2 linked regions of the Canis lupus familiaris genome follow. The protein of the gene in region 1 interacts with the protein of each later gene in a pairwise test. Links are inferred from orthologs where the notes say so. Each region holds a gene or a part of one and is shown in the gene's direction. Other genes may lie near its edges.

Region 1 (5,504 bases):
AAGGGGAAGTATAAGGAAGGGGACATGGAAGGCCCGGCTATCTGGAAGACTCGGCTGCGCTGTGCACTCAACAAGAGTCCTGAATTTGAGGAGGTGCCTGAGAACGGCCATAGGGACGGAGCTGAGCCCTACAAGGTGTATCGGCTGCTGCCCTCCGGGACTCTCCCCGGTGGGTGTCCCCTTGCCCCACCCCTCCTAGCAGCAGCAGACCTGCCTCTCTGCAGCCCCTCGCTGGGACCTCTGCCCCATCACTGTCCTTGGCGAGCTCTGCTAGCTTCTCCTTCCTGGGCCTGCCCATCCTTCCACGGCCTCCTGTCCTACCCTCTGTACCCACTTAAGGCTCTGCCATTTCTCCCCTTCCACAATATTCCACAGCCCAGCCTGGGACCCAGAAATCACCATCAAAGCGACATCACAGCTCTGTGTCCTCCGAAAGGGAGGAGGACGAGAGGACCGTGAAGAATGGTGCTCCCAGTCCCTCCTTGCTTGTGGACCCCTTCAGAAATGTAAGAGCAAGGGTAGGAAGGGGGGGGTGGCGCCTGAGGGCAGGGACCGTAACTAGGGGAGAGGTGGGCCAACCATAGATCCTGTGTCTGCAGGAGGAGGTGGGGGCCAATGGGGGAACGAGCCGTTCAAACTTTGGGAGTAGCAGCAACAGCAGCCCTGAGCCCCAGGAAGGTACCACGTCCCCCGCCTCTGTTCGTCCCCCCACACTGCACCCTCTGGCCCTTGGAGTCCCCAGTCCTACTCTGAGCAATGCACACCGCTGCTTCCCTTCTAGGCACAGGTACCGCTGAAGCCCCTTTCCAAGGAGATCAGGTGTCACTGGAGCTTCTGCCCCCTCCGGGCTCAGGTACGTGGCGTTTCTGACTCATTCCTGCGCCCTGTCCCCCCCGCCTGTCTCCCTGCGGACATGCATGCATCATTGTGTCTGGCAGGGCTCATAGCAGCCCGGGCCCACCTTGCCCAGACAGAGGCACTGGTTTCTAGGCAGGATACCTGGCCAGACTCCAAACACAGCTCAATTCTCAAAAATACCCTCTCTACACTCTGTTCCCAGGAAATCCACTTTGAGACATTAATTCTGGGGGTCAAGCAGAGACCCAGGCTCTGGGACCTAAACTGTAAGGCCCTGGGTGATAGGAAAGTCTGGCAGGAGGTCCCTAGGCTGGTGAGGGTGGCGATGGGGCAGATGAGGAGGTGGCCCCTGGCCTCAGAAGATGAAGCTGCTACCCCTGTCCTCCCTTGGCTTCTCTCGCTGGACCTCACGTTTCTCATCAGCAAAATGAGGGTGTGGGGTTCTCGAGGAGCCCCTCCATCCCCCAGGCCCTGGGGCTGACCAGGCGGACCCCTCAGGTGAAGCACAGGGGCAGCTGGTGGTTCTCTGTCCACAGACTACTCGCTGCTGCTCACCTTCATCTACAGTGGGCGCATGGTGGGCAAAGCCCAGGTGCAGAGCCTGGACTGCCGCCTTGTGGCCGAGCCCTCCGGCTCCCAGTGCGGGATGGAGCAGGTCGTCTTTCCCAAGCCTGACCCTCCAGAGCCCACCCAGCGCCTGCTGAGCCAGATCGAGAGGGGTGTCCTGGTAGCCAGCAACTCCCGGGGCCTCTTCGTGCAGCGCCTCTGCCCCATCCCCGTCTCCTGGAATGCACCCCAGGCCCCACCTGGCCCAGGCCCACATCTGCTGCCCAGCAATGAGTGTGTGGAGCTCTTCAGAACCACCCACTTCTGCAGAGGTGAGGCTGTTCCAGCTGAGCTGAGCCCCTGGCTCCTTGTAGCCCCGCCCTGGGACCTGATAGGCTCTGCCACCACCCTGTGTTTCTGCCAGTAGATCCCTCATCACAGCTGATGTGTGGCACCCTGCCCTTGCACCGTGCACATCCTGTGGGGCCCTGTGCTCCGCCCTGGCAGCTGTCTGGCAGCCACCCTTCCCTAGTCCAGGCCTCGGAAGATGAGGCTCAGGTGGAGCTCAGCACACATGTCACGTCTCGGGGACTGCCCCCGCCTGGCAGCATGCAGTGATGGGAGGTGTGCCTGCTGGGCCTCTCCCGCACAGGCTCCCACACACACCCTCCCCCTATTCACCGGCCCTGCCACACTCCGGGCAGCTCCTCTGGTCATTCTTCTCCCATCCACTTCTGGAATTCTACTCCTGCCTCCCTTCACCTGTAAATCTGGCCAGGAGTGTAGGGGACACAGAACGGGAGAGTTCCAGGGCCGTGGGTGCCCTTGGGGGGGGGGGGGGCGGTGAGCCAGCAACAGAGTGGGGTACCTCTGTGTCAAGCAGACCCGGCTGCCAGGAGGACTCTTAAGTTCTCCAGCAGAGAGCTTGCAGATCGTATAAAAATCAGTTACCTCAAAGTATTATTCGAGGAAGGGGCGCCCTTTGCTGTTTGCACATGGGAGTAGCAGCTTAGTTGCCACCGTTCCTCCTGGCATAAGGCAGCCGCCTCACAACCCTGCGGCTCCAGTTCTGGCCCCACAGCCATCCGTCTTTGTCCATGGTGGGCCCCTCTCGGTCCCCTCCCTGCCTGTGGCCCCTGTCTTCTCTTTCTTCTAGCCCTTAACCCTTTTTCCTTCATCAGACCTGGTCAGGTACTTCCAGGGCCTGGGTCCCCCACCTGAGTTCCAGGTGACACTGAATTTCTGGGAGGAGAGCCCCGGCCCCAGCCGTACCCCAAAGAGCCTCATCACGGTGCAGGTGAGTTCAGGGCAGGGGAAGAGTAGGCTAGCCTGCCCCTGGAGGGCGTGTGTTGGGGTGGTTCCAGCAGGAGACGGGGCCTGGGGGGAAGACCTCCTAGGGTAGTGTCTGCTCTTGGCTGTGCTCCTGACAAGCTCTCCCCCACCTTCTCTGGCACAGATGGAGCAGGCCTTTGCCCGACATTTACTGGAAGAGACTCCAGAGGAGCAGTCAGCTGCCGTGTCCCTGCTGCAGAGCCTGGGAGACCCTGCTTCCTCCTCTCCTCTCTCTTCCTCCTATCTGCTTTGAAAGAGACTCATTCTCCACGCTGTTGGCCTGCCTCCCTCGGTGACAGTTCTCCGTGGTTGTCTCTGACAGCTGCGTCCTTCAACTGCTCATGTACCCGGCTGGTGGAGAACTCAAGGATGATCTTTATACCCCCTGTTTTTTGTTTTTGTTTGTTTGTTTTTGTTTTTTTGAGATACACCTTTCATTTCTGAGGAACTGACCTGGGAAAGTCCAAATGGTATGAACTCAGGGGACCTTTCCCTCTTCCCCCAGTCCTAAAGCCAAGCACTTTACATTTTCTTCTTAGATGTTCACTAGGGATTTAAAATAAAATTTTTTGAAAGAGGAGTCAGTATCTGCTTTGTTGGGATGAAAAGGTAGCAGGGGTCACAGGGAAGTGAAAGAGATGTAAGGTGAGAGTGAGTACTTGGGTTCTCTTCCTGCTGACCTCTCTGGGCCCTTTTCATCTCCTCCACCGGCAGGTTCTGGCTAGGACGCTGTCTGGGCTCTGTGGGTTCTGGGCCTGGGGAGAGGGGAGAGGTTAGCCACCCGGAAGAGCACAGCCTACAGCTGCTGTAGCCACCAACCTCACGCGGAAAAATCTGGGCTCTTCTCTTCTTGGCTAAGGCCTCCGATTCGGGCCTTACAACAGGCTTAGGGTTGGACTCTGGGCAGGAGTTCTAAATGAACAGGTGAACTTGGAAGTTGCCCTCAAATTCTGGGCTACAAGCACTGGGGCCTGGAATGGGCGGCAGAATCAGAGGGAAGAGCTGCTGAGCCTCCTGTGCTGAGGGAGACCAGGCCCTGGCACCTCTTCTCCCAACACATGGGGTGCTATCCTCTCAATGGAAGGGACTCCCAAACTGTTTTCCTTGCTCTACCTAAGCCCCATAGAAGACCATCTGGCCTAGGCTGCAACGTCACCCACACTTGCTCACTGAGATTTGAGGGCTCCAGGTCAGCTGGCCCCTCTGAGCCCTTACCCCCTGGGTTTGCCACCAAACTAAAAGTTCTTCCTTTTTAAGGCCACTCGTCATCTTAATCTCTCCACTCACGTCCAGACCTAAGTCACCACTTAGCTGATGTTGCAGCCTCTAGCTCCCCTCTTCCTGTAGGGGACCCCAGATTGGAGGAAGAGAGGCTCCCAGACCAGACTCCTTCCTGTCAGGCTGCTCTTGGAAGCCTTGCCTGGTTCACCTACGTGATCAAAACCTAGACGCCTAGACCCTCAAGGATCTTCCTACTGGCATGTTTGACAAACTTCAGTGCTGCCCTTGAGCTTCCTGCCTGCCTCCTTGGATCTTCCTCCGATTCAGTCTTGCCCATCGTCCTCCTGAGAAGCCAAGAGCCCAAACAGGCCTCTGCATTACCAGGGAAGAACGCAGGTACTGAGTGCTCAGGTACTCGAACTCCAGAGTCCCTCTGCTTGCTAGAATCCCTCCTGTGCCCTTGCTGCCTCCTCAACTTCATCTTCTTTCTTTTATTTTTAATTTTAATCCCAGTATAATTAACATACAGTGTCAAATTAGTTTCACGTGTATAATTACTTATCCATTTCTTTATCGATGGACACCTGGGCTGCTTCCATAGTTTGACTCTTGTAGATACTGCTGCTATAAACATAGGGGTGCCTATATCCTTTTGAACTGGTGCTTTCATATTCTTTGGGTAAATGCCCTGTAGTGGTCACTGGATCATATAGTAGTTCTATTTTTAATTTCTTAAGCACCCTCCATACTGTTGTCCACAGTGGCTGCACAGGTTTGCATCCCCAACAGAAGTGCACAGAGTTCCTTTTTTTTTCCACATCCTCACCAACACATGTTGTTTCTTGTGTTTTTTTTTTTCTTGTGTTTTTGTTTTTGTTTTTGTTTTTGTTTTTTTAATTTTTATTTATTTATGATAGTCACAGAGAGAGAGAGAGAGAGAGAGGCAGAGACACAGGCAGAGGGAGAAGCAGGCTCCATGCACCAGGAGCCCGATGTGGGATTCGATCCCGGATCTCCAGGATCGCGCCCTGGGCCAAAGGCAGGCGCCAAACCGCTGCGCCACCCAGGGATCCCTTTTTCTTGTGTTTTTGATTTTAGCTATTCTGACAGGCGCGAGGTGATAGATCACTGTGGTTTTGATTTGCATTTCCCTGATGAGTGATGTTGAGCATCTTCTCATGTAGCTGTTGGCCACCATCTGTCTGTCTTCTTCTTCTTCTTTTTTTTTTTTTTTTGCTAAAAGTTGCTTTTATTTGTAACCTTTTTTTCTTTTTTTTTTTATTTTGTTTATTTATTCATGATAGACAGAGAGAGAGAGGCAGAGACACAGGCAGAGGGAGAAGCAGGCTCCATGCAGGGAGCCTGATGTGGGATTCGATCCCCAGTCTCCAGGATCACACCCTGGGCTGCAGGCGGCACTAAACTGCTGCACCACCGTGGCTGCCCTCTGTCTGTCTTCTTTAGAGAAATGTCTGTTCATGTCTTCTGCCCATTTTTTTAATTGAATTATTTGGGGATTTTTTAGTGTTGAGTTGCATAACTTCTTT
Region 2 (5,323 bases), on another chromosome or scaffold:
GTGAGAAGATGGCTGGAGGAGCAAGGGACCTGAGAATTAACCTTGCACTGCTGGCCCAGGCTCAAGAAACCTCATGCTGGTGCACAAACCCTGCAGACATAGTAGTAATAACAATATTCATAATAATGCTTACTGTCCACTCCCTATGAGCAAGTGTGATTACTGTGCTACGTCTGTTACTTACGTTGTGTCATTTAATCCTCACAGTAGCCCTGTGAAGTAGATCCTGTTAATAGCTCCATTTTCAGATAAGGAAAACTGAGGCACTGAGAAGTAGATAATGAGATGACACAAAAAGTGATCAAGTCAAGATTTGAACCTGAGCAATCAAACTCAGAAATCCAAAGTGTTAACCACCAGTAATGATAACAGTGAGACTTAGTCTTTATATTTGTCACTGTGATTTCTCATTTCACAGAAGAGAAACCAATGAGGGACCAGGAGGTATAGGGACAGTGCCAGTGTCACACAGGTAGTCAGCATCCAAGACTGGCCCAGGGCTCCCTCCCTGTGTAGGAGCCAGTGGTCCCAATTGTCCTAAGCATCCCCATTTAATGGATGGAGTTTTCACTTCTGCGTTGGTGCTGAAAAGCCAGAGAGCATCCCAAGGTGCTCCTTATGGGTCCCAGCACACCTGTAACAGGCAGAGGGAGAGCTTTGGTGAGCTGATACTGCCATAGCTCTTCAGAACCCAGAGCCCCTTCTGAGAGATCTAGAATGATAGAGTAGTCTGTTTAAGCCATTCTCAGGATGGGTCAACTCAAGCCAGATGTCAGGGTGAAAAGGGGAAGTCAGCTTTTTCTCAGACTGGGGGGGGGGGGGGGGGGCGCGGCGGGGCTGGGCAGGCTCCTGCTAAAACCCTGTGGCTTCTGAGCTGACACAGCCTTGTATATATGTGTGTGTGTGCCATTCAGGAGGAGATGATTTTCCAGATTCCATGGAAGCATGCTGCCAAGCATGGCTGGGACATCAACAAGGATGCCTGTCTGTTCCGGAGCTGGGCTATTCACACAGGTGTGTGCCCTGGTCTCCAGCCCTGGAGGGCCAAGGAGAAGACTAGAGGAATCACTTCTATTAACACAGAGGCTCTTCATCGGGTTCCTTGAGATTGTGTACAAAATTTGGGGGTGAGCAGGGGGCAGATTTGTATTTCTGGGGAAAAGTTCCATCATTTCAGCAAGTTCTTAAAGGAACCTGTGAAATCAGCGTCTTCAGCAAGTTCTTAAAGGAACCTGTGAAATCAGCGTCTTAGAAAGTGTGATTTCAGGGAGTTTGTAGCTGGATTAAAGCTCCTTGGGGCAAAAGCAGTTGTGAGCCTGGATACTGAAAGACCCAAGTCTTTGATTTTCTTGATGTTTACCAAGGTCCTGGCCCAAGGCCCATCTGGTTGGCAGCCTCTTTTTATCCTTGAGGTCTGGAGCTCTTGGTCCATCTCAGATCAGACAGCACACCTATCAGTAACTGTTCTTTGATGCCTCCTCTTTGTCCACTGCTGTGTTTGGAAACATCAGATAAACCCTAGTCTTTATTTAATCTCTGGCTGCTAACAGCCCAAGCAGGGAGACTGGTTCTGGTCCAGCACCAGTACAGCCCGTGAAGACATACAGGCCCTCTAGTGCTTCTGGCTGGGCCCTTCAGAAAGGTCTGCTGGATGTGTCTGAGTCAAGCATGGGCATTTGAGAAGCCCCAGGGCTTGTAGAGGGTCACCCAGGAATACCGTCTGTTTGGCTAGTGTGGATCTCTGGCAGCATGAGAGCTTAGGGGTACTCTTGCCTTCCTCCTCCCAGGCCAGACAGCAGCTAAGGATTCCCACCTCTGGTCCTTATAGTCCTCTTCACTCTTCTGCCGACTAGGTCGATACAAAGCCGGGGAAAAGGAGCCAGATCCTAAGACATGGAAGGCCAACTTTCGCTGTGCCATGAACTCCCTGCCAGATATTGAGGAAGTGAAGGACCAGAGCAGGAACAAAGGCAGCTCAGCTGTGCGGGTGTACCGGATGCTCCCACCCCTCACCAAGAACCAGAGAAAAGGTATCCAAGGGCTCTGGATCCTTGGGAAGCTCAAAGGGAGGGAAGAAGAAGGGCAGCGGGGGCTGGTGTACCTGTACCAAGACTGATGGCCCATCTGCTTTGTAGAGAGAAAGTCCAAGTCCAGCCGAGATGCTAAGAGCAAGGCCAAGAGGAAGGTGAGTGTGGCCCTGAGCTACTAGTCTTTGGTCCCCCGGGAGTCAGGGTGGGCAGTGGGAGAAGTGCCACGGCAAGCCTGGGCCTAAGCTCCTTTCTCTTGTTGCAGTCATGTGGTGACTCCAGTCCTGACACCTTCTCTGATGGACTCAGCACCTCCACCCTGCCCGATGACCACAGCAGCTACACAGCTCACGGCTACATGGGGCAGGATTTGGAGGTTGAGCGGGACCTTACTCCAGGTGAGGTAGGCCAGGTCTGGCAGGAGGCCACACAAGGTCACAATGGGATGGCTCCTTCTTTTGGGTCCAGGAGGCAGCGTGCTTGAGGAGGGGGTGGCAGGTTGGAGCAGGCCGCGGGGTCAGGGATGCTGCATGTCTTGCAAACTCAGAAAGCAGCCAGTTCTGACCTGTGGTTTCTGCTGTCCCTCAGCATTGTCACCGTGTGCCGTTACCAGTACTCTCCCTGACTGGCACATCCCAGAGATAGTGCCGGACAGCACCAGTGACCTCTACAGCTTCCAGGTGTCACCTATGCCCTCCACTTCTGAAGGTTTGTGCCCTTGCGGCCCACATGCCTGCCTGTTTGGGTCCTGGGGAGGGTTTCCTGAGGGAGAGAAGATGCTCAGAACTCTACCTGGCACTGACCGAGATGACTGTGCTGTGCTGGAGAAAAGAGGGAAGGGGGCCCAGGGGCTGTATTTGGGTCTGAGGTTGCTCAGTTCCCTGGCTCCTCTGCAGCCCAGTCTCTGTGGGTGAGGAAGGAAGCAAGGGGGTGGGAAGAGGTGTGGCTTCAGGGTGCGGGAGGCTGAGTCACAAGGACAGTGTCCTGTTCTGGAATGTCCATAGCAGGTACATGTCTGCTGGGAGGTATGTGTGTGTGTGTGTGTGTGTGTGTGCGCACACGCACGTGCGTGGTAGGGCAGGCACTATGGTGGAACTGCAGGGGCAAGCCTGGTTGACTACCAGCCAACCTCTAACCTCTCTGCTCTTCCCCATCCACAGCCACAACAGATGAGGACGAAGAAGGGAAATTAACTGAGGACATCATGAAGGTAAAGCGCATTCCTCCCTGAGCGCTCTTGTGAAGTGGCTGCTTCTTAGGAGAGAGAAAACTACTTAGAGCTCAACACATTGGAGGGTGGAGGCAGCTGCTACTGTGACCTGGCTGCTTGTATCATCCTATAAGTGCCACATCCACTGTGCCCTCCTTGGCTGGTGGGAAAGACACTGGGGAAGTGAGGACAGTGGGGAGGCCTGGTTTCTGACAGGCTGTCCTGGAGGCAGCCCTAGGGCCTGGAACCACTCTGAGTCAGCCAGCACCAGTGCCTGGTCCCTGGCCTGCGTCCTCTGCCCCAACAGGCCCCAGGCCTGCTGCCCTGTTAGTTAGGGAAGTGCACATCAGGTTTTAATAATCAGCTTTTGGGATCTGGGATCTGATGAGGGATTTTTTCCTTTTCTTTGTTTCTTTTCTTTTTTTCCTTAAAGCAAATTATTCTCCAGGGGTGTGTTGTTTTTTTTTTTTTTTTTTTTTTTTTTTGTCCTGCTTCAATCTTAAAAGCGAATATAAAACAGTTGTTGCAGTAGTTGTACCCAGGCTGTGTTTCATCAGCATAGAAAACTTGAGACGTAGGCATAGCTCCCTATCTCTAGCTTTTCTTTTCTTTTCTTGACTTGTGATGCTGTTACTTTATGCCACATTCCTGGTTGGTATGTCCTCACTCAGCTGAGGGGGAAAGTCTTAGGAGATTCTGTGCCAGAGGGGAGATGTAGGAGCATGAGTCCAGGGCAGATCCACAATTCGCAGGCCCCTGTCCTAACCACAGTCCACATTTGCATCCATCTGAGAACATGCAAATGACCAAGGGTACGATGCTGGTAGGGAAGGTTTGGCTCACTGAGGGCAAGACCAGAGGATGAATCTGCCCTGGAAGTAACCTGATGGTTCCTTATTCCTCTGTCACCAGCTCTTGGAGCAGACGGGGTGGCAGCCGACAAACGTGGATGGCAAGGGGTACCTGCTAAATGAACCTGGGACTCAGCCCCCCTCTCTCTATGGAGACTTCAGCTGCAAGGACGAACCAGAAGTTGACAGCCCTGGGGGTAAGAAGTCCCTGTAGCTGGAAGGTTTCTCCGAGAAGCGAGAAACTGGCAGGGGGTGGGTAGGAAAGGGCTGGGGGACTGGGCTAGGGAGCAGGAGAGGCAAAGCATCTTTCTTCAACTCTTCTTGGTACAGACAGCTTACAAACTGGCTGCTGCTCCCACGTACTCAGGTCTGCCTGAAGATGGAGGCAGGGTGCTTACTGCCATGTGGGGACAGTAGAGGCGGCTGTGTCTGTGGCCTACAGGGATAGGGCTGAGGGGCAGGAGGGGAACACACCTGTCTTTACCCTCCATCCTCATACAACCTTCTTCACATCTTCTAGGGTATGTTGGGCTGATCTCTTCAGATCTGAAGAACATGGACACCAGCTGGCTGGACAGCCTGTTGACTCCAGTCAGACTGCCCTCCATCCAGGCCATTCCTTGTGCACCATAGCTGGGCCCTGGCCCCTTTGACTCCCCTAGGTGTTGAGCAGGACCTGGCATCATGGTTGCCATGATGCAAAGAAACAGGATTCCTGTGGGCTCCTTGACATGGCAGAGAATGACTCCATTGCTGAGCAGGGATGGAACCTCCCTCCTTAGGACAGTGACCCTTTAGGTTCTGTTAGGCCAGGGTCTGGGCTCATCTTGTGGGGTAAAGCTGGCCCTGCCTCCTGGGAAGATGGGATTATGAGATTGATGTGTCAGATGGAACTCTCAGAGAGGAGTCAGCCTCCAGCTTTCCCCCTCAGCCCGACTGCCTTGAAAGGGTCTCGCTGTTGCTGAGGTGGCCCAAGGGAACAGACCAGTGACCTCAGAGAAGCACAGCACCAACCCCAGGGCTGGCTCTGCACTAAGAGACAATTGCACTAAGGGAATCCTGTTCCCAGAGACCCTCCCCCCCTTCCCAGCTGAGCCCTAGGGACTGTTCCAAAGCCAGTGAAATGTGAAGGAAACGGGGCCCTGCAGGACAGTGCTCCCTCAGCTGTAGAGGAGCTCCGCCCTGCTTGGGCTCAGGGGCTTGGGAAAGAACATGGCACTTTTTCTTGTGGACCT

The links. The genes of interacting proteins can lie anywhere in the genome.
Region 2: the proteins of IRF9 (region 1) and IRF1 interact in a two-hybrid assay, tested with the Homo sapiens proteins (2 studies listed by BioGRID and IntAct). The link is inferred for Canis lupus familiaris from reciprocal best matches to the Homo sapiens genes IRF9 and IRF1.

Annotation. Positions count from the first base shown.
Region 1 is NC_049229.1:4,278,988-4,284,491, forward strand, and holds the end of IRF9 (interferon regulatory factor 9), read left to right. Parts: coding exon 1-169; intron 170-375; coding exon 376-506; intron 507-599; coding exon 600-678; intron 679-781; coding exon 782-853; intron 854-1,394; coding exon 1,395-1,736; intron 1,737-2,585; coding exon 2,586-2,701; intron 2,702-2,860; coding exon 2,861-2,989; 3' UTR 2,990-3,316; downstream 3,317-5,504.
Region 2 is NC_049232.1:20,768,512-20,773,834, reverse strand, and holds part of IRF1 (interferon regulatory factor 1), read left to right. Parts: intron 1-914; coding exon 915-1,014; intron 1,015-1,853; coding exon 1,854-2,030; intron 2,031-2,135; coding exon 2,136-2,185; intron 2,186-2,292; coding exon 2,293-2,425; intron 2,426-2,615; coding exon 2,616-2,735; intron 2,736-3,187; coding exon 3,188-3,237; intron 3,238-4,149; coding exon 4,150-4,285; intron 4,286-4,608; coding exon 4,609-4,721; 3' UTR 4,722-5,323. UniProt on the Homo sapiens protein: Transcriptional regulator which displays a remarkable functional diversity in the regulation of cellular responses.